4 linked regions of the Lepisosteus oculatus genome follow. Each later gene encodes a partner of the first gene's protein in a complex. Links are inferred from orthologs where the notes say so. Each region holds a gene or a part of one and is shown on either strand. Other genes may lie near its edges.

What was found.
Region 2: pfdn2 (region 1) and uxt share a complex: the UniProt entries of both Homo sapiens proteins name them as parts of the PAQosome complex. The link is inferred for Lepisosteus oculatus from reciprocal best matches to the Homo sapiens genes PFDN2 and UXT.
Region 3: pfdn2 (region 1) and pfdn6 share a complex: the UniProt entries of both Homo sapiens proteins name them as parts of the PAQosome complex. The link is inferred for Lepisosteus oculatus from reciprocal best matches to the Homo sapiens genes PFDN2 and PFDN6.
Region 4: pfdn2 (region 1) and dnaaf10 share a complex: the UniProt entries of both Homo sapiens proteins name them as parts of the PAQosome complex. The link is inferred for Lepisosteus oculatus from reciprocal best matches to the Homo sapiens genes PFDN2 and DNAAF10.

What each region holds. Positions count from the first base shown.
Region 1 is NC_090713.1:22,363,871-22,371,688, reverse strand, and holds the start of pfdn2 (prefoldin subunit 2), read right to left. Parts: upstream 3,003-7,818; 5' UTR 2,964-3,002; coding exon 2,874-2,963; intron 1,691-2,873; coding exon 1,602-1,690; intron 159-1,601; coding exon 35-158; intron 1-34. Other genes in the region: nit1 (deaminated glutathione amidase), read left to right, coding at 3,779-3,885, 4,795-5,025, 5,237-5,340, 5,884-6,020, 6,473-6,598, 7,243-7,500. UniProt on the Homo sapiens protein: Binds specifically to cytosolic chaperonin (c-CPN) and transfers target proteins to it. Binds to nascent polypeptide chain and promotes folding in an environment in which there are many competing pathways for nonnative proteins.
Region 2 is NC_090697.1:76,549,204-76,556,862, forward strand, and holds the start of uxt (protein UXT), read right to left. Parts: upstream 3,014-7,659; 5' UTR 2,969-3,013; exon of another isoform or gene 2,922-2,968; intron 2,619-2,921; 5' UTR 2,594-2,618; coding exon 2,508-2,593; intron 1,474-2,507; coding exon 1,392-1,473; intron 989-1,391; coding exon 921-988; intron 461-920; coding exon 353-460; intron 1-352. Other genes in the region: ER membrane protein complex subunit 3, read left to right, coding at 4,093-4,247, 4,805-4,862, 5,298-5,391, 5,652-5,756, 6,122-6,203, 6,624-6,703, 7,261-7,343. UniProt on the Homo sapiens protein: Involved in gene transcription regulation. Acts in concert with the corepressor URI1 to regulate androgen receptor AR-mediated transcription. Together with URI1, associates with chromatin to the NKX3-1 promoter region.
Region 3 is NC_090713.1:23,463,920-23,470,883, reverse strand, and holds the start of pfdn6 (prefoldin subunit 6), read right to left. Parts: upstream 3,009-6,964; 5' UTR 2,852-3,008; coding exon 2,788-2,851; intron 1,892-2,787; coding exon 1,821-1,891; intron 1,587-1,820; coding exon 1,462-1,586; intron 1-1,461. Other genes in the region: mrps12 (small ribosomal subunit protein uS12m), read right to left, coding at 5,071-5,459, 6,342-6,390. UniProt on the Homo sapiens protein: Binds specifically to cytosolic chaperonin (c-CPN) and transfers target proteins to it. Binds to nascent polypeptide chain and promotes folding in an environment in which there are many competing pathways for nonnative proteins.
Region 4 is NC_090712.1:8,546,660-8,553,968, reverse strand, and holds the start of dnaaf10 (dynein axonemal assembly factor 10), read right to left. Parts: upstream 3,015-7,309; 5' UTR 2,752-3,014; coding exon 2,566-2,751; intron 2,178-2,565; coding exon 2,077-2,177; intron 1,714-2,076; coding exon 1,583-1,713; intron 1,456-1,582; coding exon 1,354-1,455; intron 588-1,353; coding exon 472-587; intron 36-471; coding exon 1-35. Other genes in the region: RNA-binding protein PNO1, read left to right, coding at 3,447-3,644, 3,760-3,909, 4,223-4,306, 4,910-4,970, 5,537-5,654, 5,839-5,909, 6,201-6,268. UniProt on the Homo sapiens protein: Key assembly factor specifically required for the stability of axonemal dynein heavy chains in cytoplasm.

The sequences.
Region 1 (7,818 bases):
GGCGCCCTCCCTCCCGGCCGGGCGCCGGCCTCACCTGCTCCTTGTTGCTCTCCAGCGCCGGCAGCACCTCCCTCACCGTCCGCTCCACCAGCACGCCGCCCACCAGGCGGAAGCACTTCCGCGCCGGGTCCACCTCGCGCAGGGTCTCGATCACCAGGCTGGCGGGACACGCACAAGCACAGGGCAGCTCAGGCCAGGCTGCAGGCACAGCGCCCCCTCCTGGACCAGGACTGGACACCCCCGCTGCAGACACACTGACCCCTCCTGGACCAGGACTGGACACCCCCGCTGCAGACACACTGACCCCTCCTGGACCAGGACTGGACACCCCCGCTGCAGACACACTGACCCCTCCTGGACCAGGACCGGACACCCCCGCTGCAGACACAGCGCCCCCTCCTGGACCAGGACCGGACACCCCCGCTGCAGACACACTGACCCCTCCTGGACCAGGACCGGACAGCCCTGCTCCAGACACACTGACCCCCCCTGGACCAGGACCGGACACCCCTGCTCTAGACACACTGACCCCTCCTGGACCAGGACCGGACAGGCCCGCTGCAGACACACTGACCCCCTCCTGGACCAGGACTGGACAGCCCTGCTGCAGACACACTGACCCCTCCTGGACCAGGACCGGACACCCCCGCTGCAGACACACTGACCCTTCCTGGACCAGGACCGGACACCCCCGCTGCAGACACACTGACCCCTCCTGGACCAGGACCGGACACCCCCGCTGCAGACACACTGACCCCTCCTGCACCAGGACCGGACACCCCCGCTGCAGTCACACTGACCCCTCCAGGACCAGGACTGGACAGCCCTGCTGCAGACACACTGACCCCTCCTGGACCAGGACTGGACACCCCTGCTGCAGACACACTGACCCTTCCTGGACCAGGACTGGACACCCCTGCTGCAGACACAGTGCCCCCTCCTGGACCAGGACTGGACACCCCCGCTGCAGACACACTGACCCCTCCTGGACCAGGACTGGACAGCCCTGCTGCAGACACACTGACCCCTCCTGGACCAGGACTGGACAGCCCTGCTGCAGACACACTGACCCCTCCTGGACCAGGACTGGACAGCCCTGCTGCAGACACACAGCCCTTGTCTATGTAGATGAGGTGTAGAGTATGTGTATAGAGTCCATGTACTTCTATATATCCTAGGGCACTCTTGAGCTGGGAGGCACGGTGGTGCAGTGCTCAGGGTTGCTGTCTCACAACTCTGGGGTTCTGGGTTCTATTCTGGACTAGAGGAGCTGTCTGTGTGGAGTTTGCATGCTCTCTCCGCATTCGCATTGGGTCTCCTCCCATGCTGGTGGGGGAACTGGCTTCTGGGAAAACTGGCCCTGTTGTGAGTGTCCTGCCCTGGACTGATGTCCCATCCAGGGTGTATCCTGGTGCATCCTGCTTGCTGGGATAGACTCCAGCTCCCCAGGGACCCTGTACTAGATAAAGCGGTCAGAAGATGGCCGGATATGTATTCAGCGCAGTAACAGGTGGAACACTGTGTCCACCTGCAGAGCCGAACCCCTGGGAATGAGGATCTGCACAGGGTCCGGACGGGAGCAGGCGGCCAGCAGACGGTACCTGTGCTCGTTGATTTCCATCTCCAGCTCCGCTGCCTTGGACGCCATGCTGCGCTGCTCCTGTCTCATCCTCTGGAACCCGGCCACCACCTGACAGAGGGAGACACGTCAACAGACTGGACAGGTCCACACACTGCACTGAGAGAGAGGGGTTCATACAGACTGGACACTCCAGTCCATTAACACTGCACTGAGAGAGAGAGAGGGGTTCATACAGACACACTGACTGGACACTCCAGTACATTAACACTGCACTGAGAGAGAGAGGGGTTCATACAGACACACTGACTGGACACTCCAGTACATGAACACTGCACTGAGAGAGAGGGGTTCATACAGACACACTGACTGGACACTCCAGTACATGAACACTGCACTGAGAGAGAGGGGTTCATACAGACTCACTGACTGGACACTCCAGTACATTAACACTGCACTGAGAGAGAGAGGGGTTCATACAGACACACTGACTGGACACTCCAGTACACTAACACTGCACTGAGAGAGAGAGGGGTTCATACACACACACTGACTGGACACTCCAGTACATTAACACTGCACTGAGAGAGAGAGGGGTTCATACACACACACTGACTGGACACTCCAGTACATTAACACTGCACTGAGAGAGAGGGGTTCATACAGACACACTGACTGGACACTCCAGTACATGAACACTGCACTGAGAGAGAGGGGTTCATACAGACACACTGACTGGACACTCCAGTACATTAACACTGCACTGAGAGAGAGGGGTTCATACAGACACACTGACTGGACACTCCAGTACGTTTCCCTTACCCGTTAAGCAAAACGGGAGCTATTATTAGTGAGGATACAATCATCATATTTTTGTGCCACTAGAAGTAATAAAAATACGGTAGCCAGTGACTGTTCCGACAAATTCGTCGTATTTCGTGAAAACGCCGCGTCCAAACCCGGCTCATCGCCGTACTGTACACGGTAACGGTCCGGTTATCAACACGGGCGTTTCAGTCCACAATAAAAACCGTGCGCCCCCTGCGACAGGGGGGGGTCTCGTCTGCCGTGCGGTAGCTCATCAGAGCCCGTGTCGCGTCCCGTCGTGTCACCGCACTGCAGAGATTGCATTACTGCTGGTGTTTCCAGAAATCGGGGCTGCTCGGGTTGCGGCGCTGGGCTCAGGCGAGCGTGCGATCAGCCGCCGCATGCCCACACCTCCTCTGCCGCCCCCTCCCCTTCCCAAACCCGGTCCGCCTGGAGAACGGGGCTCCCCGCCGGCCTCGGGCGTTACCTGCTCGGCCGTGGGGCCGGACTGCTTCCCTCCGCCGCTGTTGCTTTTACCACCGGCCGTGCCGCCGCTGCTGGCGCTGCTCGCCGCCATCTTGACTAGGGGAACGGCCGTGCTCCCAGGACCCCTCCTTACTACCCGGGGCTGCCCCGCCAGCTGCCTGCTGGACACCAACGCGAGAAGCGCCGAGACGTAGCCTACCCGTGCGACAACCACGCAAATTCTTTTAATGATAATTTAAAAAAACAAACAAACAATTAGGTCTGAGGGAAATTCACCTTTAATGGAAAACAGGTAATTGTAATTCATCGAAAACAGCCATTGTCAACATGCCTAGGAAATTTCGTTTTAAGATATTTAGCTGCAGGGGGGAAAAATGTCATTTGTTGTCATTATCGTGTAAAGAAGCATTTTCGCTGTATTTGAAATGTGATCTTGTGTACTTCTGAACAGGTATTATAGCGATAATAGACGCATTAAGTCCGTTAATCGTGGAGATCCTCAGGTGGAAACGCATGACCTGTTTATATAAAGTTAGACTAACAGGGTATGCATACTGCTGTAGATCTGTAACGCCAGAATGAACAATATAGGCTCTTTCTTTTCATGTCAACCCGTGATCAATTTCTTCCTGAACACAGGTGTAAGCCTAAAACTCAGAGTGCATGTCCTGGACGGTTGTTTCTAACTTTGTTTAATAAAGTAAATCATCTGATACCCAAGGTAATCATTCTGGTTGCAGTTCGGAGAAACGAAATAAAAAAAACGCACACAAAACAGTTCAAAGTGCGCCTTCACCAGCGGCCACACTCTATTGGTCACAATACTGGGGCTGTTCTGTTAAATTACAACAGGAGGAGCGACGACCTTTTCTGCCTCGATTGAGGTTCCTGCTCTGGGCTCCGTCCATGCTGCGACGCGGGACGCTGTGGAGTCGAGCGAGCTACGCCTGGAGCACAGCCCTCCGATACACGAGTTTCACGTCTCGGAGAGCGCGCCCAGGCGACCAGGAGAGGTAAACACGCCCCGTGGACCGGCGGGGTATTTAATGGCCGCCGTACTGTACGTGAAAAGCCCGCTTTGTTTGAAAATCTTATCCCGTTCCTCTTGGTCAGGTTTGGGTGTGGTGCCGGTGGGGGCAAAGTGGATCAGTGGTTTGCACTGCTGCTGCATGGATACATTTTCGCACCTGGGGTGCTGTCTGTGTGGAGTTTGCATGTTCTCCCCAGGAGAAACTGGCCCCGGTGTGTGTGTGTGTGTCCCATCCAGGGTGGACCCCACCTTGCGCCCGTTGCTTGCTGGGATAGGCTCCGGTTCCCCCCTGTACTGGATACAGTGGTGAGAGAAGGGCTGGGTAGAGCCCAGGTCTCTGCTGTAAAGGGCACTTGTCTGGCTCTCTGTCCCAACGGGTTGACCTCAGTTTATACTCCAGACCGTCTTCAAACCCAGCCCCTTCAAACTCGGGCTCCTCAGAGCATAAGAGAGGTTACAAACTAGGCCTGCAGTGGTGGTCCTGATCCATACAGGTCACCCCCCCTCATCGCCGGCAAACTTGTTTAAGTGACTGATCAGTGCAGCGAGTCAGAATTGTGATGTTATTTATTGTGTCATCTCTACACTTCTACAGCTGTCCTCTGGACCCCCACTCAGAGCGCTTTACAGCTCATGGGGATCCCCTCCACCCCCCAGCAGTGTGCAGCCCCACCTGGGTGAGGCACAGTCCGCTCCCCCCACCCCAGCTCTCAGCGTGATGGAGCCAGTTCAGAGAGGGGTGCCTGAACTGATCCCGGTCCCCCCTCCTGGGACTGAGGCTGGTCCGTCCGGAAGTCCGTTGGGCTTAAGCTGCAGCTGAGGCTGACTCCTGTCCAGTCCCGGGGAGGGGGAAGACTAACACAGGCGCGCTCTCCCCCTCCCTCCTTCCCAGGATGAGCTCCCGCAAGCCGGTGGCCGCGCTGTGCCAGGTCACCTCCACGCCGGACAAGGAGGCCAACTTCGCCAGCTGCGAGGGGCTGGTGGAGCGGGCGCGCGAGGGCGGGGCCTGCATGGCCTTCCTGCCCGAGGGCTTCGACTTCATCGGCTCGGGCCGCGAGGAGACGCTGGAGCTGGCGGAGGCGCTGGAGGGCGAGACGGTCGGGCGCTACGCGGCCCTGGCCAGGTCCGTCCACCGGGGGGCGGCCTGGGGGCTCGTTACTCGCTCAGGCTCTGTTCCCTGCTCTTACTCACATGGAGGAGGAGGAGGAGGAGGAGGGTGGCATCTTTCCCAGTAGAACCAGGAAATAAACCGTAGAGTCCAGGAGAAGCACAAGAGCTGGGTGCCCCCCGTCGTCCAGGGCCTGTCTGACGTCCCTCCCAATTCTCCCTCTCAGGAAACTGGGGATCTGGCTGTCCCTGGGGGGGTTCCACGAGCGAGGGGAGGACTGGGAGAGGGATCGCCGGATCTACAACAGCCACGTGATCCTGGATGACCAGGGTACGCAGCCCCCCACCCCGTCCTGTCCTGTCCTGTCCTGTCCTGTCCTGTCGTGCTGTTCCATCCACCCACCCATTCTCCCACCACTTCTTCCAGCTCACCGCCGAAGTGAAGCAGGAGCCTATCCCAGCAGGCAGCGGGCGAAAGGCGGGGTACACCCTGGAAGGGATACCAGTCCATCACAGGGCAAAACACACGCATGCACGCACGCTCACACTCACACCTGGGTCGATTTCCCAGAAGCCAAGTAACCCACTGGCGTGTCTTTGGACTGTGGGAGGAAACCCACGCAATCACAGGAGAACATGCAGACTCCACACAGACAGCACCCCTGGTCCGGAATTTAATGTGGGGCCCTTAGCACAGCGAGGCATCATGTTGACCACTGCTGTTTTTACATTGGTCATAATACCTGCTGTCTGTGGCTGAAAAAAGTCAGAAAATTCTACAATGATCAAATAATTCATCATTCATAATTCATTCAGGGCATGGTGACATGACCCCTGTCACTCCACGGCCACACTCATCCTCTCTTTCTCCCAGGTCACATTGCAGCCGTCTACAGGAAGTGCCACCTGTTTGACGTGGAGCTGACAGGAAGGGGCGTGTCCCTGAAAGAGAGCTCCTTCACCATCCCGGGACCCTGCATCGTCCCCCCCGTCCAGACGCCCCTCGGCAAGGTTACGATTCTTCTCTTCTCTCTTTCACCGTTATCTCCAGCACCGGGGCAGCCGAAGACCACGGGCTGTTAATGGGCTGCCGGTGCAGAATGAACACTGTGCGTCTCCCAGGTGGGGCTGCTGGTGCAGAATGAACACTGTGCGTCTCCCAGGTGGGGCTGCAGGTGCAGAATGGCCACTGTGCGTCTCCCAGGTGGGGCTGCTGGTGCAGAATGGAGGCTGTGCGTCTCCCAGTTGGGGCTGCTGGTGCATAATGAACACTGTGCATCTCCCAGGTGGGGCAACAATTCAGTGGAGGATGATGTGGGTCTCCCCCTTTATGTGAAATGCTCTGCTATACCAGTACAAATCCAGTCTGCTATTACTGATATCACCAGAACTTTTAATTTGACTGAGTCAGGTAAGGTCTTCAGCTGTAATTAATGATCGCATCCAGCTGTTTTGTTTTCCAGCTGGGACTGGGCGTGTGTTATGACCTGCGCTTCCCTGAGTTCTCATTGGCCCTCGTGCGGAAGGGGGCGGAGATTCTAACCTATCCTTCAGCCTTCACCGTGGCAACGGGGACCGCCCACTGGGAGGTGAGGAAGTGACCTCACGGACGCGATGGAGAGGAGGACGGGGTGGGCGGGGCCGACGTGTGTACGGCAATCTTTCAGTGAGTTTTAGGACTGCTGTCGGTAGCAGTGTCTCTGCTGGGCTTGAGCAGGGAGATCCACAGACACGGACTTGTGTCGTCCCTGGTGTTTTCGGCACAGAGAGATGGCCTGGGTGCCCAATGTGAGAAGCCCACACAAGCAGTCATGCACACATTCTTAAGTCATGGGTGTCAAACCCAGTTCCCTACTCCACATTAACCCTGAGTGTCGTTGGGCGACTTGGACACATGCAGGACGATCCTACAGGCCAAAGCCTAGTGAGGCCCTGTTGTTGGTAACTGACCTTAACTTGACCTGGGAAACCAAATCTAATCGCCTCTCGGGCGTTAGAAAGTAGTTTAAAATTGAAGAAATGATTAACTTGTCTGGGGCAATGAGAGAGACTTCATTGACACCCGAGATCTTCATCATTCCTCAGTCGAACCCGAGCCCCTCCAGGCTGTTCTGGTTTGTACGCAGCCCGGCCCGGGGTGACTTCATCGCTGCAGTTGGCGGGAGTGTGGGTGAAGGTGATCGAAGGAGAGGGGTCCCCGTCTCTGAGGCCTGTTCCTCTGCGTGTGCCCCAGGTCCTGCTGCGTGCCCGGGCGATCGAGACGCAGTGCTTCGTGCTGGCCGCCGCCCAGGTGGGGCGCCACCACGCCCGCCGCGCCTCCTTCGGCCACGCCCTGGCGCTGGGGCCCTGGGGCGAGGTGCTGGGGGCCTGCGGGGCCACGGAGCCCGGGCTGGCGCTGGTGGAGGTCGACCTGCAGCGCCTGCGGGAGGTGAGGAGGGACATGCCACTGCAGCAGCACCGGCGGGGGGAGCAGTTCTACAGCCAGGACTGAACCACTGGACACCTGCGGCGGGGGGAGCTATTCAACTTGTTCTCCTATTCTGTGTGCAGCCCTGGGGGGGGCAGCACAGAGTCCCACTGCTTCTGCTTGCAGCCTCTGACCTTAATGACCTAATTGAACATTAAGCAATTAATTTATGGTCAGTTTCTTCAGTTTGTAATCTGTACCGAACTGAAAAGCTTCTTCCTCCCTGAGCTTCTGGGGCTGTAGCGAAATCTGGGGTACGTCCCTGAGCTCTGGGGTACGCGCTTAAACAGGCGCAGTGGCCGCACTGCGTTGTTGTAGCGCCCCCTGGCGTGTGAAGGAGAG
Region 2 (7,659 bases), on another chromosome or scaffold:
ATAAATAAACAGTTGAAATGCAGTGAATCCCATGCTAAGTCAGTACAACAGAATATATTTTAGGACAAGAAATTAATTAATTTAACTTATTGTCGTTCATTTAATTATTTATTCTCAATAGAAGCATGAAAATGTAACTTTCACCTCTTTATCATGCAATTAAACCAGCTCTCTGATATGCCTATAAAAATCTAATAAAAACAATACATTTTACAAGAGCAAGACAAATTCAATGCACAGAACAATTCAGAAAGAGTCCAGGTGAAAGCTCACAGATCCTGGGCTGAACTGATCACAGCCGGTAAGAGCACAGCAGAGCAGACTGCTGCCCCCTCCCCTCCCCGAGTCTTACTCTGTCAGCTGGCTGGTCTTCCTCTCTATAAACTTCAGGGCTTCGGGCAGCGTGAACTCCACAAAGAACCCGAATCCCACGGCAACGAAGATCTTGGAAGGATCCTCACTGGTCATAGAAACAAGGCAAAGCTGAGTGTGTCAACTACAGCAGACACGTGGTAAGCGAACCAATTATTCATTTAGCAATCAATACTTTGGCAGACACCTTTATCCAACGTGACCCATGTATATTTGCACAGCTGGGTGCTTCCCTGAAGGGGGTCCAAGCGAAGTACCACGCTCAAGGGCACAACAGCAGTGTCCCCACCTGGGATTCGAACCCGCAACCCTCCACTTGCAAGTGCAGATCCCTGACCACTGAGCCAGCTGATAACAGAGTGCTCCTCCTGAAGGCACGTTCCTGTTCTCTCACAGGAAATATTGACAAAAAAAGTCTATACCACTTCAATACCAGAAATCCGTTTTATTTTGAAGAACCCACTTCCTTAACAGATGTAAAAACCGGTGGTTAAGAAGCCAGGCCAGGAATCAAGACGGAAGACTCAAAACATCTCCGCTGTACTTACACATGAGCCTGGACATAAAAATTACAGCCCAGGTCCACATCCGTTTTAAGCTCCTTGCTTCCCGATTCCTGGAATAGGGAGACTGGTTTAAGAGTAAGAAAAAACAACCTAATTCACCAAATTACTCGAAACAAAAATCACAGCTGTGAGAATATATATATATATGTACATCTAATCATACATCTATAGTTCTTTATGTCAGTGATTTATGTTTTAATAAAACTGCTCCAAAATCCGAGGTGTGCTATGTGACACCTATTGGCACATAGCACATTATTAGCGGACACTATCGCTACAATGGAAATAAAATAATAGCATGAAATTAAAGAGATAGGTATTGAGATACCAGTTCACATCATTCCGAGTATATATGTAAACACTGCATTTCACGATTTCAAACTTCCCTAATGTATAACTACTGTCCTACAATATAACCCACACTGTAAAGTGAGAGGCAGGCGAGTGCTGTACCTGAAGGCTTTCAATCACGTTCTTCAGCTGCAAATACTGGGCGATCTTCTCGTAGATCTCATCTCTCTGCTCCAGCACCGTTCTGGCACAGTAACAGACAGACAGTAGTCACGGCGCCGACACGGCGACAACACTCGCCAGGTAACCCCAATGGCCGAGAGATGAAAACGATGTTCAGGGTGTTTTTACTTTGAGTTCGGGCATCTGCACCTCCTCCTCCCCGCCCCCCAAAAACCGGACCCAGGCGTCGGCTGAGCAGCCAGAAACAGCCGTGAGCCGCAGGTGACCTCGGTCTGTCGCGGGACGGGAGACCGCGAGTCTCTGGGCTCCGGGTGCGACAGATTAAATCCCTTCATCTTTCCAAGCTACAGGCTCCCGAGTCCCAGCCAGCACCCCGGGTGTCTGTGCTGTCCTGTTGACAATATCTGCATGAAGGTGAGGACTTCTGTACAACTCATCCACTGTGTGTCTGGGCAGGGCCAACATTGACTTTAACGTGCTTATGGACGAAACATTAAACTCTCTGCTTACATCTGGTTTTTCCCGTTTACAACTGTTTTTTTCTGCAATATATCTAGGGGCTTGTGCAATATATTTTTATATTTATAATGTGCAATACAACTTTCTGTTTTTTGTATATTCTGTACTGTGAGCAACTTTTTTTAGTGCACTTCTCACTGAGTGTACCGACTGTATTGTATTGTTGTATTATTGCATTACACTGTGCTCTGTTGACTGTGCTAAACTGCTGTTGCACTGCAATCTCCCTCACGGGATCAATAAAGTATCTTCTTTATTAAAAGAAAACTCTCCCCCTCTCTCAGCAGAATTTACACAAGAGCTCACAATTTCCTGAAATGCATCAGACAGCTGTACATCTGGGGGAGTGCCTTGAGCTAGAGAACAAAAGGCAAACTGTGATTTTTTTTTGGGGGGAGGGGGGGGATCACGGAGACAGGACAGCAGTTTATCCAATCTGGTGAAGCACACAGCTTCAGTTTTGCACTATATACCGGACAACTACAGCTGCGACAGGTAAAACATTGGGATTAGAACCTGCATTTAGACTATAAAAACAGAAACAAAATTCCACTCTTCGGCCCCCCACACACTTACTGCAAATCTCGCTTCAAGACCTCGTTTATAAACGTCTCGTATGCAGAGACTTTTTCTTCAACTTTCCGCCTGCCGCCCGGAGTCATCGTATAGTCTCAGCAGGGCAGGAGCCTGTAGGAGAGACGCACGGTGTGAAAATGAAACAAACACTGACATCACCCCTCGCCCGATTTACACACCTATCGTAATCAAACCCGATACAAACAGATCATTTCTCGGTGCTCAACGATATATTCCCAACGCCACGTTTTCGTTAGGCATGTCTCTCCTTGCAGAATTAATCTCGCTTTGAATGTCACCCAGATAAACCACGTCCCCTGCTTATTGAACTGCTGCTAATGCAAAAAAACATAGAAAAGCAGATGTGACACACGGTGTAAAATAGTTTTTCAAGAGGCGGAAAAGTATATAAACCTCATCGATTACTGAGATCGTGAGAATCAAGGGGAGCAAATTCATACATCATATGTTTTCATCCACTGCACGCGTCACTCATGGGCTTCCGGGTTAAATGTCAAGACGTTTTAATGTCATTTTGTGTTTTTTAAATGTGGTGTAAATAAATCCATACATTGACTTGGAAAACAAATACGGTTCGTTATCTATGAGCGTTTTTTTTAAAAAAATATATGTGTCTTATACGTGAATTTATTAATTTGCGTTACTGACGCCGGGGTCAAAGTTTAAATTCCCGTCCTTATTTTTAATTCTGGACATGTGGAGAAGTCCTTTCAGGGTTCACAGGTACCTACCTACACACTCACACGACACGGGTGTTTTTCGAGGTCCTTATCAATACTGAATAAAGTGGGATTAAAATTGCTTTCGGTGGGGGGAAATTATAACTAAATGTTTATTTCCAGCGCCGAGGGCGGAGCGGGGATACCGAACCGAGCCCCGGTCTGTGGTCGCGGAGACCCGGCTGGCTCTATCGCTGCAGGTGTTTAATGGGTGGCGTTTTTTTAATTAACAAAACCTCTGGTATTATTTCGACACAGGCCTCGGTACATATAGACGTCTCTGGCAGTGTCCCGAGTAACCCAATAGAAAACAGGCGAGTGTCGGAGCGGTTTTCGGCAGCAGCTGGGACAGTTTCACAGTTTCGCACTCGTAGCTCCTGTGAAGAGCTGGACGGGAGATTTGCTCTGATCTCCTTCGTTTTTTGTTGTTGTTGTGGGGAGTTCGTGTTAAATTCGGTGCCCACCGAACAACGTCCTCAGCTCAGAAGTCACTGAAAAGAAAAGTGTCAAACTTCTAAAAGACCTAATAAGCGACGCTAGAAAATACAATACTCATCTGGTTGAAGTGCCAAACCCGGTTGTTAAGTTGAATCTCCTTGTCATCGTTTTTTTTTTTTTTACCGTGTACCGTGTTGTTTTTACGGACGCGAGGATATCCAAGTGTTTTCTGAAGTTTCTCATATCGTTGGGTATTATTATCGCGGTCTACTGTTCTGTGGCCTACTTCTTGTAGGATAATGTGCACCCAAAAAACGAACTTCAGTGTGTTTGTGGTGTGAAGTGTTCGGGCTGTCCTTCACCTGCCGGGGCTCGTTTTCAGGGTGTGTTGACACAAGCGAGTCGCCATGGCCGGTCCGGAGCTGCTGCTGGACTCCAGTATCCGAGTCTGGGTCGTGCTGCCCATCGTCTTCGTCACCTTCTTCGTGGGGGTCATCCGACACTACGTCACCCAGCTGCTGCACAGTGACAAGAAAGTGGACCTGCAGCAGGTGTCCGACAGGTGAGCCCAGCGGATTTCATCTTTCCGGGGGCAGAATCGTGAAATGCTGCAGGAGTTTAAACAATCGTTGTTCGTAGATGTTGGTGGGAGATTTCACAATCAACTTGAAATTGACAAATCAGTGTATGGTCTCATATCGAAGTTATTCTGCAGGTGAAGTGTTGGAAATACATCAACTGTAAGATCAATTTTAGCTTATTAGCTGCGGGGAAATATTACCTGTGCAGAAGGTGTCTATAGGCCTTAAGTTATATGGGAAAGATTGGCACAGCACCAAGTGATCTGCAGCTGGGCTAGTACAGAGATTGAGATTAGTTTTGTGGCATGTGACCAGGCTCTGATCGACTGAAACAGTTGTGCAGAAGTGGCCCCGAATGTAAAAAGAGCAGAGGAAACAGGAAGCTCTGTGTCATAGCCCAGGGCACTGCCCAGCCCTCTGGTAGAGCCCTGTGCGTACCAAGCCAGCACTAAGCTTAGATAAAAGAATTAAAGTAGGACGCAATGTAAATATCAATGTAAATATTACCGCAAGTAACTTGTTATATCTGTTTTTGCAGCCAAGTGTTGCTCAGAAGCCGTATTTTGAGAGAGAATGGGAAATACATCCCCAAGCAGGTAAGAATGTTATCCTGGGCTTTCCGAGACTCTGGAGCATCCTAATGAAAATAGTTTTGTCCTTCATACTGGATTTGTGCTGGGTGCTTCCGACTCTCAGGTTAAGAGCTGATGTGAGCTACGCTTTCTGTGCTTGGCTTCAACTGAACTGGTCGTGAGAAATGCCGTGAGCTCCACTGTGTCAGGAATCGGTTGGTTATCCTCAGCTGTGTGGATCAATGATCAGAGCACTGAGAAGGTTTCAGCAGAGATGGTGCTCCTCTCTGGAATCAAGACGGTGTGGGTCTCTGGACTGGGTCTCCAGATGTGGCGGAGCTGCCCGCTGTCTGGGGAGCGAGGCTGCCCTCGTCTCGCGACGCGCGCGCCTCGTGTTCTGCGTGACGGGGTGCCGGCGGAGCTCTAGGCGTGATGCTCTCCAAACGCTTTTCTCTTCAGTCCTTTGCGATGCGGAAGCACTACTTCAACGATCCCGAGACGGGGTTCTTCAAGAAAACCAAGAGGAAGGTTGTTCCTAAAAACCCCATGACAGGTGAGAAAGAGGAACCGTCCCGTTTCGTTCGTGGTGGTGGGGGGTTGAGGTGCTTTCATTCTCAAAATACTAGAGAATTGAAGCAAACCGGGGAACCTCACACTCTGCACGCCCCCTGTCCTGAGCGCTATTTACAGGAGTTCGAACTTGGCATCGTACAGTGGGAAGAGTTATGGGGATTTGCTGCTGTTTAGTTTTGGGGTGTTGGGGTTACCTCTCACCTGGTGTGTCAGCTCCAGCCTCTGACTGGTCTTTTGCAGATACCAGCATGCTGACGGACATGATGAAGGGCAACGTGACCAACGTCCTCCCCATGATCGTGATTGGCGGCTGGATCAACTGGGCTTTCTCCGGGTTCGTCACCAGTAAGTGACTGTTCTGTTGGTCTTTCAGAAGAAATGAATGAATGCAAATGAATGTGACCCCTGCTGGAAAAAGATCAAGGTATTTCCCTAGCAGTCCACTTGCAATTCAATCAATTCAAGCTTTATTATCCTCTGGGGGGAATTTTGTTTCATGGCTGAGTCCAACTCAAGCGATACACTGCTGGACAAGTCGGGGGTGGCAGTGATAGAGAGAAAGGAGTTACCCCAGGAGGAGTTTTGTTTCCGCCTGTGAAGGGCTTGAGCTCTGCAGTCAGGGGCTGGGACATGAGCCCAGCTGTGTGCAGCCTGAAGGTCTAGCCTGCCTACTGCCCACTGATCCCCCTGTCTTCTCTCTCTCCGCACAGCCAAGGTGCCCTTCCCCCTGACCCTGAGGTTCAAGCCCATGCTGCAGCGCGGGATCGAGCTGCTCTCGCTGGACGCTTCCTGGTACGGCTTCGCACCGGTCTGCCCTCTCGCCCCCTCCAGGCCCACGGCTGCCCTGGCCTTGTTCGCGCTGTTCGTTCTGCTCTGGCTGTGAGCCTCGTGCCTGTCCTTCGCTCGGCTGGTCCCGGGTCCCGTAACGCCCCCAGGACACCACGCCGTGCGTCGGGGGACCCAGCCTTTGGAGAGGCAGCCCCTCGTCTTCCAAGTTCCCTTCCTGACCCAGTTGAAAATGCAGCTTCTGTTGACTTTTCTAAATCTAAATCCTCAATTTCTCACTTATATCTATTTTTATTGTATATTCTGCTACTGTATTTTGTATTGTGTCTTTTACGTAAAGTGCTATGAGAGAGCTCTCTATTGAAAGGCGCTGTATAAGAATAGAATTGATTGATTGATTGATTGTCCCCATCTTTTTCTGTGTAGGGTGAGCTCGGCGTCCTGGTATTTTCTGAATGTCTTTGGGCTGCGCAGCATGTACAACCTGATCCTGGGTCATGACAATGGTGAGCAAGTCAGAGCTGGATCCAAGGCACCCCTGTTTCTCTGTTCTCTCCGGCCGCTGACTAGTCCACAGAGCAGCGTGCCTTGTCTGCTCACTAATAGGAGAGATAGCTGCAGAGCTCTTTCTGTCTCGAGAGCAGATGAAAAATAACTGCTCAGCGCCAATGCAAAGGAGGCACTCAAGCACGACAATTGAAATGTTTGCTCCTTTGGTGGAGCTGGTTGGTTACATTATCCATCCATCCATCCATCCATTCATTTACCAACAGCTTTATCCAGTTCAGGGTCGTGGGGGAGCTGGTGCTTATCCAGGCTATCAGAGGGTGCAAAGCAAGATAAATCCTAGACATGGTGCCAGTCCATCACAGAGCACAGACATGCACACATACAGCTAGTGACAGTTTCCCAGAAGTCAATTCACCTTCCAGCATGTCTTTGGACCATGGGAGTGTTTTCTTGAAGGGCAAGAGAATCCCGTGTTGATGGATTTTAAAATTTGTTGAGAGACTCTGTGCTTTCTGACCTCAGTCTAAGCTGCACCCTTCAATGTCCCTTCCAGCTGCTGACCAGTCCCGCATCATGCAGGATCACATGACAGGAGCTGCCATGGCGATGCCCCCTGACCCTAACAAGGCGTTCAAGGTGAGAGAATTCTCTCCCCCCCCCCCCTTAAATTTTCTTCCAGGTCTCCTGAAAAGCCAAAGACTGGATGGGTTGAATCCGAAAATGAAAAGAGCAGATGGTGTTTTTTTTATCCTGAATAATATCCATCATGTCATGTCATTTGCCAAACCTCTTTATACCGTACGGTGTCGCAGGATGAATAATATATTGTAGCGCTCTCGGGTTCATGTGGGTATGCGCCCTTGCCACTGCCGCCTCAGGTCGGCTCCCCACCGCTGGGGACTCGAACCCGGGCCTCTGGCATCACTCAACAGGGACCCAGCCTCTCGAGCTA
Region 3 (6,964 bases), about 1.1 Mb from region 1:
TGCAATGAAGAGAGAGAAAGGAAAGATGTTGAAAGACAGAAGAAAGCAGGACACTGAGCCCCAGAGACACAGGGTGGCACAGTAGGACACTGAGCCCCAGAGACAGACTGTCACATCAGGACACTGAGCCCCAGCAGGATACTGAGCCCCAGAGACACAGGGTGGCACAGTAGGACACTGAGCCCCAGTAGGACACTGAGCCCCAGAGACAGACTGTCACATCAGGACACTGAGCCCCAGAGACAAACTGTCACATCAGGACACTGAGCCCCAGCAGGACACTGAGCCCCAGAGACACAGGGTGGCACAGTAGGACACTGAGCCCCAGAGACAAACAGAGCACAGGACTGTGAGAAAGAACTGTACCTCCTTGCAGGCCTGGAATTTCTACCAGAAATCTGCACGTCATTTCAGTTATAGTCTACTTAAAGGAAGTGTTAAAACCACTCGGATAATTAGAGAGAAAACACAAGGAGGCTAAAGAAGGTTTATGTCCCATGCAGCTATTTACTGACCACATCAACTAATATTTTATGGTATTTTAACAATTTTGGCCAGTATTGATACAGTCTAGTGCATCTGATGAAAAAGCAAGATCGGCACTTAAATTCACCAGTATCTACTGAAACACACCATCTCAGGACAAACTTAATCTATTACTGTTTTTAGTCCAGCTAAAACCTCAATTACCTAACTGATACAATTAAGTGTTTAAAAGTCAGTTGGCTGTGATTTCCAGGGATTATTCGGGTACTTCTGAAACCTGCAGGACCAGGACTGCCTAAACCAGTCACAGCTGATACATCATATCTCAGTGACTCACTGTCAGGGGCTTCTTGTCATTATCAAGTTTCTCTTTCCACATCTACAAATTTAAAAGGCCACTTTTTATCCTACCATATACAGATCCATCAGGATTACATGTGATCATAAAATAGCTTAAAGTTCAGTAGAGTACCATACAGTTGTTTTCACGTAAAGATTGAAGAACATGGTGTAATAAGTGAAAAACAATCTAAACTGTCTTTTTACAGCAGTGTAGCTATTTTAGATTTTTATATTACAATAAAGTGCACTCTAGAACACAATTAAGCCAACAACCTCCACACACAGGACAGAAGACGGGTACTGTCAAGGAAATTTAACTAATGAGCATTGATGTATAAAGCTCTCAGTGTAATGCTGTAGTGCTTAGAAACAGTTGAATTTGTAACAGAGGATTTTGTAATTTGTAACACTTCAGTAGCAGTGATTGTGACCAGGATAAGAAAAGCATATTAGAAACGAGTAATGTGCCTTCTTATGACAATAAACATATCAGTTCAGAGAGGTCAGAGAGAAGACTACAGGGCCAGATTAGCTCAGTCAAACTGGGCTGTAGAAGGCAGGTCTCTACTAACACTTGGCTTCACTTTCTCAATCTGCCAGGATTGTACGAGGACAAACACACACAGGACTTACATTTCTCCAGTGATATACTCCAGCCGCTTCCCCACTGTAGCCTTCGCTTCATCCAGGTCCTGTTTGACTAGAACTGGGCCAATCAGCTTGTAGACAGTGTTCTGAGCCTCCAGCAAGTCCAGCTCCTGCCCCCACAAAGCCAGAGCAGAAGATAAACCAGTTAGCCCTCAGAGCCACATGGGAGGACCTGCAACTCACCCTTAGTAAAGGCTTCAGCCTCACACCACAAAGGAGACGCACATCTGAAGAAGCGACAAGCAGCAGGGAATAAAACTCTCTCTGATGCTGACGAACCAGCAACAGAACCAGAAAGTCAAAACAGAGGATCAAAGAGGTCTGAAGGGAGAGTGGCGCCTCACCTCCTTCACGATGTTGTTCTCCGTCAGCTGGGCTTCCAGCTTCTGTCTCGCCGACATGCTTTTACTCAGATCTGCAAAGAAACAGTTTTAATATTTAGGCCTCCTATTTCCCAAGCAGTCGCAGCTCTCAGGGAACGTGAGTAACATAGAGGCCAGTGTGACAGTCACATTAACGCACCACTACTCTCTACCTATCGTCTTCTGCGTCAGCCCACAGGCTTTTACTGGAACAGGCAGAGCACACTCCTTCACAGCCACAGATCAGCAGTTCTTCATACATCAGTAATGACACTTTAAAAGCACAAATATTGCCTTAAACACTCTTAGCCCTCCATCCATCTCCTAATCGCTTCATCCAGTTCAGGGCCACACAGGAGCCACAGTCTCTCCCGGCTAGCAACAGGCTCAGGGCTGGGTACCCCAGACGGGACCCCAGTCCATCCCAGGAGACACACAGACACACACACTCGCACCAGGGCCAGTTTTCCCAGAAGCTGATCAACCCACCAGCACAGTCTGGACTGTGGGAGGAAACCCACTCAAACACTGAGAGAACATATAAGCTCCACACAAACAGCACCCCAGGTCCCAGTACCATGAGGCAGCAGTGCCGCCCCCTTTATTACTGCACGATTCATTATCATCACCTAGAGCTGAGGCAGAAACCCCAGGCTCCTTCACATTAAAGCGGCGTTATGTTAACACGAAGAAGGACACACAAGCGATTGGGACGCTCCCCGTGAGCTGACCTTTAACAATTCAACAAAGTCGCTACCGGAGTGGTCACCCACTTAAAGCACTGGTCATTTCACATTCAGCTTCGAGTTTTGTGAGTCTCCAGTATCAGACGTGTCCAGCGACACGATGACCAGAACAGTGCGTCCGTAGCCACTATCAGCTCAAAATACAGAATGCGATAGACACCACTTTGTATCTAGGAGAACTGCAATAATAAATTCAACTTTGCCTTTCTGGGTCTGTTGATATTTTTCGAGCTCAGTTTGAAGTCTCTTCTGGATTGCTTCCGCCATCGCTGGTCCAACACCAGGTTTTAGGGTACCAAAAGCGGACGGAATAATATTCCGATAAAAATGCCAAATATTTTTTTTAATTATTGGGCTCGGCAGCCTTTTTACCACCTCGCCGCACCACCTGCCTAGCTTCACAGTCTGAGACAGGAAGAGCTATGGCGTCGCACCGGATATGACGCTACCACGGCACTGACTTGTGATGGTAAAAGACGCCATGTTGGTAAGGGACAGAGAAATAAGAAAAAAGGTTGGGTTGGTTTTGGATAGACTTGGAAGACTTTCTATTTAAGCATCTAACTGAATGTTAGAGTTAAGGAGTTTGATATAATTCGCAAGATGTAAATAACATGTATTTATCATTAATCTGTTATTAATAATGGGTAAATATATACACTCAACTGTCGCTTCTCCTTCCTTTGATATTTATAAGATGGAAATGCGATATTCCATTAAAAAGTTTAAATACACTAATGCAAAAATGCATTGCAAAGATACATTTTGTATTCAGGTTTGTAATTACCTCTGGCAGTGTATTTGTTTCACTACCGCTTTTTCCTTCTCTCATTTGTATTATTTGATGTTCAAACGTTTGAAAAAATAAGAAAAACATTATCGTTTACCGAAAAGCAGGATCGTTTGCATAAAATGCGTAATATAAGAATTACGAACACGTTTAGATGTATAGATTCATTAACTATTTTCCCTAACTCATTTTGTATATAAGACGTATACATGCAAGTACACAGTAGCATGCGCACTCGTGTTTTGTAAATGACCCATCCTGCCGGCTGTAAGAGAGCTACAAGCAGGAACGAGCTGGCGCTGAGTGTTTCCCTTCCTTCTACTCATTCAGCACTGGACAAGAAATCAACACCCTGTCGCCACTGCAACACAACTAAAAAGCATCATCTACTGTCATTCGATAATTTCATGCACTTTGCAAATTACTGTTTTTTAGGATCAGAAATAGCCTCAGCGCCCTCCTTTAAAAGGTTTTGTATCCCAAAACCAGAACCGCAGGAGCCTCTCGCTGTATGTGTTGGGTGAAATATAGAGACACTGAGTCTGGTGAGTCAGCAGTTATGGTTACAGCCTCCAGCTTCTGGAACACAATTCTATCAATTAGATTCTCATCTAATTTATAACTCCTCAAACTAAAGTGAAATCATTGCTTCATGCAAATCAGTCTTTGCAATCATGAAACTTCTTCCTCCTTATCCAACATCATGCTCTCCATCTTGATCAGTTCTAATGTACTTCTTGAAACTTTCAATGTATTTCTTGTCAGTGCTTATATACACTTTACCTATTGAAATATCTATCATACACTATGTCTTGAAATGTCTTTTCTGCATCTTGTATCTCAAGGGCCGTGTCCTGCCCAGGGACCACAGCTGCAAATTTGCTTTCTAGCAGACACTGGTGCAGATGAAGAGCTGTGCGCTGTCCTCCTCTTCAGCTCCTTCTTCTCCAGCACTTCACCCAAAAACAAGGCACGTTTGGAATGAAACCATTAGTATGACACACTCTCAGTCACCACAGGTATCTTACCTGTCAGCTGCAGGTCCACTGTCACTAGAGAACTATTTAGGGATTTCAAACCTTCACTGAATGCGTTTTCCAGAAAAGGCCATTCCTTCTTTCCAAATTACCCTTTTTTTGGTTTGAGTCACTTCAATTCAGGGGTGGAAATACAGATCTTTATTTGCACAACAATTCTCATCTCTTCTGTAAAACATCAGGATTTGTGTAGCAAACTGGAATTGTTGCTCATTTGAATTTTCTCCCTTTTACAAACAGGACTGGCTGCTGTGCATATGAATGAACTTGTGTACTCTCGTCACAGAGCAACATGACAAGACAATTGAATACTGGCAACATTCTGTGAGAATTAGAGCACTTTCTGCACAGAACTTCAGTAATGTAGCCATTTATAATAGTTTGAAAGCAGACACTTGAAATGAACAAACCACCCATAACTGTGATCAGTTACATTACATTCCGTCTCAAACCACAATGTAGTGCTGCCTGCCTCAATCCCAGATTCTAATAATAGCACAAAGACAAAGGACTGCAGCATCAGAGTGGACTTTATTACAGCTCATCTGTGGCAGAAAACTGCCCCAGGTCAGGAGGAGAGGTCTGACCACTGGAGAAACGGGTGGAATAGTCTGTGTGGATGAAGCCACAGTGTCCACAGGGCCCAGTCCCTCGCTGGCTCACTGTTTCTTCTTCTGCACGTGGGCACAGTCATACTTCCCACGGACGACCTTGAGCTTGACCCCGGGCAGGTCCTGCGTGCGCCCACCCTCCACCAGCACGATGTTGTGCTCCTGCAGGTTGTGCCCCTCCCCGGGGATGAAGCACACCACCTCCCGCCCGTTCGACAGACGCACGCGGGCACACTTCCGGTTGGCCGAGTTGGGCTTCTTGGGCTTGCGAATCAGGGTCTTCAGCACCACGCCCTTCAGCTGCGGGCGGCCGAAGGTGGGGCTGACGCGGGGCGGCTCGGGGCGCGGCCGGCCCTGGCGGTGCATCTGATTGAGAGTGGCCATCCCACGCAGAGGGGCCAGGGGCCAGCTGGCCACACCGCCTGCCCCGTGCACACCTGCAGGACGGAGAAAGCGAGGAACAGCATGAGAGAGGGAACGGGCCGGTCAAGACCTGTCTCAGACACTCTTCTCCATCGCCTCTACCCAAGATGTACCAAGTATGTCGCTTCATACTTCTCTACCGGGTCACCGCAGAACCGTATAAGTACAGCAGAACCTTCAGTTACAGCACCCTAGGCCCCGGATGCTGCTGCAGAGCTGGGACGGACAGGGGACACCTGTATCAGCGCCCCTTGGCAGACGAGGTGGTACAGACAGCATGCATGGGTTAGGTCAGGATTTCTCCTGTGTGTGAAATTCTTTTAAATGACTTATTAAAATCAAAATGGTTGTAGCATGTAAATGCTAGCGGTTCACAAATTAAAACCACACCTATTTTGTGCACAGAAAGATTTTTTTTACCATTTTCAATAATTATATGATTCAAACACAACTGCAAACCATTCAAATACTTTGTAGTTTTGTTTCATTAAGCACCATTTCACCATTTGTTTCATAATGTTATTCCAACATTATACTGAGCAATTCATTTAAAAATTAAATTTTACCCTATTATCAGTTTCTCAGCCAATCTGCAGCTTTGCTTGAGTCACCACAGAACTGCCAAAGCTTTTATGTTCTAATAGGTTTGTTTCTATGTGATGTTTGTGATTTTCACACAGTGCTCAAACGTCAAACACATAATCAGGTGCACATATACCCTTTTTCTCAGGTGCTTCACTCACATACTCCTGCAGTTTACTGCTCATTCTGATTGTCTTTTCCCTGTAAGGAGCTCCCGGCAAGAACGCGCAACAGGCCCCAATCCCAAGGCCTGCTACAGTCACTGTGCTTGAACTGGCACCAGCAGGTTGGCAGGACTGGCCCAGGACACTCACCCCAGAGCAGCGCTGACACCACTGGCCGCAGATTGGAGAGCAAAGCCATCCCTGTGCTGCGGGACTCCTGGGGAGAGAACAGAAGCAAGGCGCCGTGAGGTGTCATCAGCACCAAGGCACCTTCCTGGCACATTTCAACTAACGAGAGAAGAAGCGACTCCTCCGATAGTCAAATACACGTCACAGGCATTGGCACCATAACTCAAGTCAGCTTCCTGTTACACTGTGATGTTTTAAGCTCTGCAAAATCTAGCACAAATTGCCAGGAGCAAGGGAGAAAAAATAAAAATTTAACTTTGATGTCACACTTCTATTGTCTACTCACTCCTACTAATGTCTTAGACAAAATCCCCAAGTAACAAACTTAAAAATCTCCAGCCTCTTTGTGTGCCTACTGCACAAAAGCCTCTTGTAGTTTGTAAAACCTGGAGCGGATCAGACTGCTGCGCACTGGGAATCTGACTGACAGCACTGTCACACCTGGAGCGGATCAGACTGCTGCACACTGGGAGTCTGACAGCACTGTCACACCTGGAGCGGATCAGACTGCTGCACACTGGGAGTCTGACTGACAGCACTGTCACACCTGGAGCGGATCAGACTGCTGCGCACTGGGAGTCTGA
Region 4 (7,309 bases), on another chromosome or scaffold:
TTGATATCTTTTCTGTCAAACTCGACACAACATACCTGTCAATTACACAAAAAATGAAACCAAACACTGCAACTCATACAATGAAAAGAAGACATTACAGAAACATGATGTACAATAACACAATATGCACCCACATTAATATAACTCAGTTATAACTCAAACCAAACAGTCTTAAAAAGCATTAAGAAAATTCATAGAAATACAATGGACTTGGCAGAATTGAAGATCATGCAAGATGAAAACTTGGTAAACACTACACAATGTATTACTGTTTTACTTTCCTTCAAGAATGCAACATCTTTTCATCCTGTCAATCAAATACCTTTTGCTGTTGGAAAAGCCAGATTCATTAAGATAGAGTTTTAGCATTTACTAATTATTCAGAAACAGTTCAACAGTAAAAAAAACTGTCTAGTTATATGTTAATCGGAATGCTTTTAGTTTAAAACTGATACTGGTGTTCCACCTTACCCCATTTTTAATGTTTGTTTCCCATCTTAGTGACATATTCCTCAGATCGAAAAGTTTAATATCGCCGTTATCATATCCAGCACACACACAGCGGTCCTGGTCATTGAATGCATGTCCTAACTCAAACAAAATGTAAAATCAGATTCTGAAGTGAAAAGAAAGAATTATCTTTTAAAAGTATAATTATAGTTGTGATATCAATATTTATTCATTGTACTACATCTAGACACAAACATTGATACTACATTATATAATGGTGATAGATAACAGGTTAAACGCTAATCTTGTGTTCCTCATTACGTCTTTATGATATACAGAGGTAAACATTTTAATCTTAAGAAGGCAACCTGTATTCTGTACCTTATTTTATATATATAGTATGTTTAGGCAGGCAGAAAAATAGTTGTATGTATCACTTAAATACAAATACTGCAATATAATTTTGAAAGGCACCAAATACTACCAAATAAAGAGTGCACTGAGTAAGTAAACAAAATTAAAACCTCTTCAACATACATGAAAACGTCTATTTGGAAATTTCATTTCATTTTTTACATAAAGCCTCCAAAATATATACTTCAGCTTTCACGACACAGTAAATGCAACATTAAAAGCATTTCAACTGTGAAATGATTAAATGTTGGCAACCAAGGAGTGCGATTAAACCACAAAAAACTTGATGATTTTCAATACCCATATCCATATAGAAAATCAACAGGATTAATTGTTAAAAACATTTTGACCCCGAAAAAGTATTTCTCATGTATTTTATTTCAGGCTTAAAATGCGGGTGATGGATTGCTTTAACACCATTTGGAACAATCTTGGAAAACCTCAAACAAAATATGCAGAAAACAGTAGCCACATGTTCCTTATACATACCAAATGCTACAGTCCAGCAATCTCTCTTTGACTCTCCTTCAACTGGTTCCATATTTGCAACTGGAGTGTCTTTCTGCCTTGGGTCCCACACTTTAACTGTTCCTGTATAAATCAAAACATACATTTCAGCATTTTAACGTGAATTAAAATATATTCTGCACACTACTTGTTACCAAGTTCATAAGCCACAAGTACAAAGTTTACATGAACATGAACAGCATGTGTTTACCATCTCTGCTCCCAGTCACAATCTCTGGGGCTCCATCTCCAATACCCAGGCCTCCTACACCATCAATGGCATTCACAATTTCCTTGTGTGCTTTCACTGAATAAACCGGGACATCCGGCACTTCAAGATTCCTACAAAATATATTTTGAAGGAATTCAAACAAAGACTGTGCGCATGTTCACGTTGCAATCCTGCCATTCACACCAGACAAATACACCACTTTCCCAAATTATGTTTCTGAATGACAGAAGCACTATAACCCCTCAGCTGCAAACAACTTTTATTTGGCATAATTCAAATAATACTCATAAAGCCTCATTAAGAGGACAAAAAGCAAAACAGGATACCATGTATTCATTAGGGACTACTTCAGCTGAGAATAAAACAGCCTTGTTTATGCAATACTTGCACTTGCATCATTTGCATTTTCTTTCACCCCAGAAAGGAAAGACGTGGTTCACCTTAAGATTCTTACTGATAAAAGTTAAATTTACCAGATATTGAGGTTCCCACTAAAATCTCCAGTAGCTAGATGCCTCTGCTGTATTGAAGTCGCACCAAATGTTCCACACTTAATAGGCTTGGCCTTTTCAATCTACGAAAAGACAAAACATGACAACATTTCGGACGCTGAAATTGGCGTGGATAGCACAGAAACCCAAACCAATTCAATGCAAATACATCGGAAAATCTGTCTGTTTATAACTTTCCCCACGACAATCCATTGCAGTCATCTGGATTATATCACCAAGAGACCTGAACTTTAAGCTTAATTAAACGAATAGTTCTCGTTTGTCGTCTTTCTGTTAAAACAAGAACAATGTGCGACTTAAAAACCCAGCAAAGGTGTTGCCCTTATGGACAAAGCGTGCATTGCCATGGTAACGATCCGCCGAAGTATTTTCTAGAAAACTGCCTTGCCATTTAAATATCTAAATAAATGACCAATACAAATTATAATCAACAGGATACGTTGGCCAGACCTCTTTGACAAGCTTAGCTTCTCCGTGTTGGACTTCATAGATTTGCATCACTCCCGTCCCCCTAGCGAAGTTCCCCATGCACACAAACTTGGCACTGCAGGGTATCCATTTGCAATCAAACACAGTGTAGTTGAGACTTTTCTGTATGTGAGAAATAATCTGCGGCTTCTCCAGAGGAGTCGACATTGCTTCTCGTGAGGCGGCGGCGTATGTTCAAATTCAAAGATGAAAGTAAAAAATGTCTAAAAAGTAGAAACAAGGCTCCAGCTCTGACAGCACGTCTCGTCACTGGTCACGTCTAGCAGTGTGGGCCACAGTTACTGTACCGTCGGGTTTCCATTTCCTAACTCAGCCGGAGGACCCCACAAACTGCAAGCTGTCTTGTGCCGCGCCTGAAGCAATTGCGCCACACTTGAAGTCGCACAGAAATCCTTAGACATTCTTCAAAATTAATTATCTGCACCCCTGTACGCTGTCGTTTCAGATCGTGTTACAGACTGAAAATATATTGAACACCACTACCGTAGCAATAACGTATGTATTTAACTGTAGCGAGCTGTTACAGTGATTAAAACATTAATTCACTTTTAAGATTACATTTTTAGATCTTTAGCAATAACGAAAGATTTTTTAAACCTACATGGTACAATACCCTGTATTTATTTGTAACGTAAGTATGTAACATTCTTTTTTACCTTTGGGTCCTAGGAGGGGTAGTGACGTAGTCCTGAAAGTCGTCTATTTGTTTTTATGAGAAGGACCCTGGTGGACACGTTAGGTCCTTTTACAAGATGGTGTCTTACCGCATGTGTTGCAGTTGTTAGTGTTCTATAAGAAGTACAGGGATTTTTCTCATTGCAGGAGCTGTTTATCGCTTAACAATGGAAGTTGAACAAACGACGAGGACTGGTAACGAGCCCAGCAGCAGTACGGGCTGTCAGAACGTGGCCGATGAGTTTAAGCAAGTTAAATCAAAGAAAAACAACAAGCGAAAGCGTCAAGTTGACGATGGGCAGATGGAAACTGAAGTTCATAGGAAGAGACCCGAATTTCCACCCATTTCTGGAGACAAAATGAAGGTAAAGTAGTTAACACTATTTGTAGATTATACGATCTGTGGTGTAACATGTGCTTCTTTGGGGCTAGCTAGTCGGAGTTACCTGCTGATTATGCTATGTTTTCGTCGTTTTATAGGGAGATTCTGATGAAATGCGAAAAATCCCTGTACCGTCACATCGGTATACACCTTTGAAAGAAAACTGGATGAAGATCTTCACTCCCATCGTAGAACATTTACAGTTACAAGTCAGGTTTAACCTTAAAACAAGAAATGTTGAAATAAAAGTAAGTTTTTACCTTCTTAACTGAAACGCCTCTTAACGCTGATTGGTGTTATTCTACTATAGATCTACTCAGTCGTTCTGAATTTAATGATTAGAAATATATTTGGTAGTATAAATTGCCAAACAATTTTAGAGTCAGTACCTTTTAGAATAATGCGTGTGACTGGGCTGTGTAAGGGTAGATGCAAACTATGTAAGCATCCTTTTAATGTTTCATACGTCAAAATCTAGTAATTGCCTTCTTTCAACAATAATTAGGCTACAGCCAGACGTCATCAAACCTGTAACGTAATTAATGCGTTTATTTTTTTCAGACCTGTAAAGAAACACAAGACATAAGTGCACTTACCAAAGCAGCAGACTTTGTGAAAGCATTTGTACTAGGATTTCAAGTGGAGGTGAGTTTCTTACCTTATATATGTATGTATAAAATGACTAGATTCAGGTAAAATATGGGCAAATTTTGGGATTGCTCCTATGGCTTTCATGTTTTTGAAAAATACATAACATTGACTGTTGTGTGATGTTGTACATCTGGTTTACATTTGAGAACCAAGCATAATATAACATAATGGCTACTAATGAGAGGAAGTTTAGGTCATCTAACACACTTGCTTGCCGTTGGCCAGTTGATCAGAGTTTCATCCAGCATTTCTTAAAATAAGCTAGGTTATCAGCCCTGTTGAACACCCCAGGTAGTTTACCTGAGGCATCTATGACCCTTTATATTAAAAGGTGCCTTCTGTTTTAAGTTATAAATGTACTTCCCATTAATTTCCATTTGTTTTCTGTGTTTTACAGAAAAGTATTTGTTCAATCCTGGGAATGTACCTAATTGCTCTTCTTCAGACTAATGTAGTGTAACATGGTGACATTTTATATTATTTTCTAAGTCGGGTCTTCTTAGATGTAAATATATTAATATCCCTCAATTTGGAGTGGGTACTGAGGTAAAGAATTAAACACACTTGGCATTAAACAACAGATTTGTTTGTTCACAGGATGCCCTAGCCCTGATCAGATTAGATGAGCTGTTTCTAGAAACCTTTGAGGTCACCGATGGTAAGTCCTAAGTCAGTATTAAAGTCTGTGGCATGGATTTTCTGTTACTCATTTAAAATGACCACTGGGCAAAATGTCCAACCATGTGGAACCATCTAGCTCGTTTGTGGCTTATGTGAGCTTCGGGTTTAACAACGTTAATGAGAAACTGAAGTCATTTGATAGTTTTGACATAATTCATGTTTATATGGTAAAGTTGCTGTCCTTGCAACACCTCATACTTGAGGTTGTTGAAGTGTTGTAGTCAGTTCCAGAATGGTGCAATCTGTCAGCTTCTTAACTAGGTGTTAATCTTCAAGCCTGCAAGTTTTCTTTTTGAAATGCAGGGTCATGTAGAAGTCAACCAACCAAGATTCTGATTTAAAAAACAGAGCAGCTGGGTACTGCCTAGACAGTGCCCTGGGCTGTAAACAGTCTCATTTTTATTCTTTAAATGCTAGTAAGATGTCCCTTTAAATTATTTTCTGTGGATTATTAATACTGATAGGGTACCTCAGATGTTCTAAGAGGTGTGTAAGCGAGGTAGACTCCCTTTAAGACAACTCAAAATACCTTTTTTTTTAAAGTTAAACCGTTGAAGGGAGATCATCTTTCCAGAGCTATAGGAAGAATAGCAGGCAAAGGAGGAAAAACTAAATTTACAATTGAAAACGTGACCCGGACAAGGATCGTCTTAGCGGATACGTGAGTACTTTTGTTTTACGCTGTCATTGTGTCTCAACCTACTGGGCAGTGGGTGTGAAGAATAACCCTATACTGAACTGATCTTATAAATACTCCATTGTTTTATGTACAATTCTGAGTATTATGCAAGATATAAAGAATTAGAGGCTGTATTTGGCAAATAATATTTTCCCTTTTGTTTTAGAAAAATACATATTTTGGGATCTTTCCAGAACATTAAAATGGCACGAACAGCTATATGCAACCTCATTTTGGGTAAGTTTTGTATAGGAGTCTGTACTTTTAATTCCATAAGATTTATACTGCATTTTAGGAAAAAAAACTTATATTGGTGTAAAAAGCCTGAACCTTTTGACAACTACCCTTGAGATTTGTAGACCAGTGAACAGCAGATGTCTTAACCTTAAGTGTTTTCAGTCCATTGTTTTCTGAAGTTATTTCCATAGCCATATTACTGTATGTAAAACAGACTCCCCTGCTATGTTGTAACATTTAATGGTTAAAAAAACTGTTATGATCTGTAATATTTTTTAATTTTTCCAACAGGAAGCCCTCCATCAAAAGTTTATGGTAACATTCGAGCAGTGGCCAGTCGAACTGCAGAGAGATTTTAGGAAATTCTGGACAATTGGGACATTTTTGGGTGTTCTAGAAGTACAAATCACTGTGACTGAGGCCTGCTGGAGTTTGACGATCAAAGACTTCAAGGCACCAACAATTTGTAATTGTAATTAACTGCATTGTTATACTTCACTGTGGATCAATGATGAACTTAAATCTGAAGCACAGAGTTAAGTTGTGAATTGTAACTTTGTTGTGGAATAAAGCTACATCAACAGCTGATGGCTTGACTTAAAATAATGTGCAAAGCAATCATGTGGTATTGAGCAGTTTTGAAACTTTTTATACATTTTCCAGATGCACAGTACTATTTGTACTCGTTCTGATAGGAATCAGCTTCCAGAACCATAAGTAATAATGCATCAACTACATATGTGCTAGTAAAGTTACTTTCAGATTCATATCAACAGAATATTACATCAATACAGCTGGAGGGTTTATTTTCTCACGTACTGTATGAAGTATATTTGTATACTTAAAAGACTGGGTTCAGTTTTAATTTATTTTTTATAGACATGGAGCATTCAGCTTTTTAAAAAGTAAACTTTTTCAAGAGGCTTTAATCAACTTAAGCTTCAAATGGTTTTATTTTCATTTTCATACAGAATGAAGTTTTCAATTCCCACAGCATATGGTGCAGCATGCAGAAAAAAAAGCTTAACATTCAACTTAACCATTTTCCCACACAAACTGAAAGCTCATTCCCTGAAAAGGAATGAATCTTAGCACTAAAGTCTAGAATTGCAGCCTAAGTAACACACTAGCAACACAGAGGAGAGAGTGATAAGTGAAAGTAAATAAATTCTTATGTACAAAAAAATCTCAAACTGTTTCCCCTTGAAGCAGAGCACATGGCAGTTGACACTGGAACAGATATGCAAGTTTGCCGGAATTCGAGCAACACACTGATCCAGAAGATAAAAGATACATGTAGTGGAGTTTTTTTTAATTATGTTAACATTAACCAAAGTTTGGCAACATTTTTATTTATAATATGAACATTACAATTAATGTAAACAAGAGGAACATTTCAA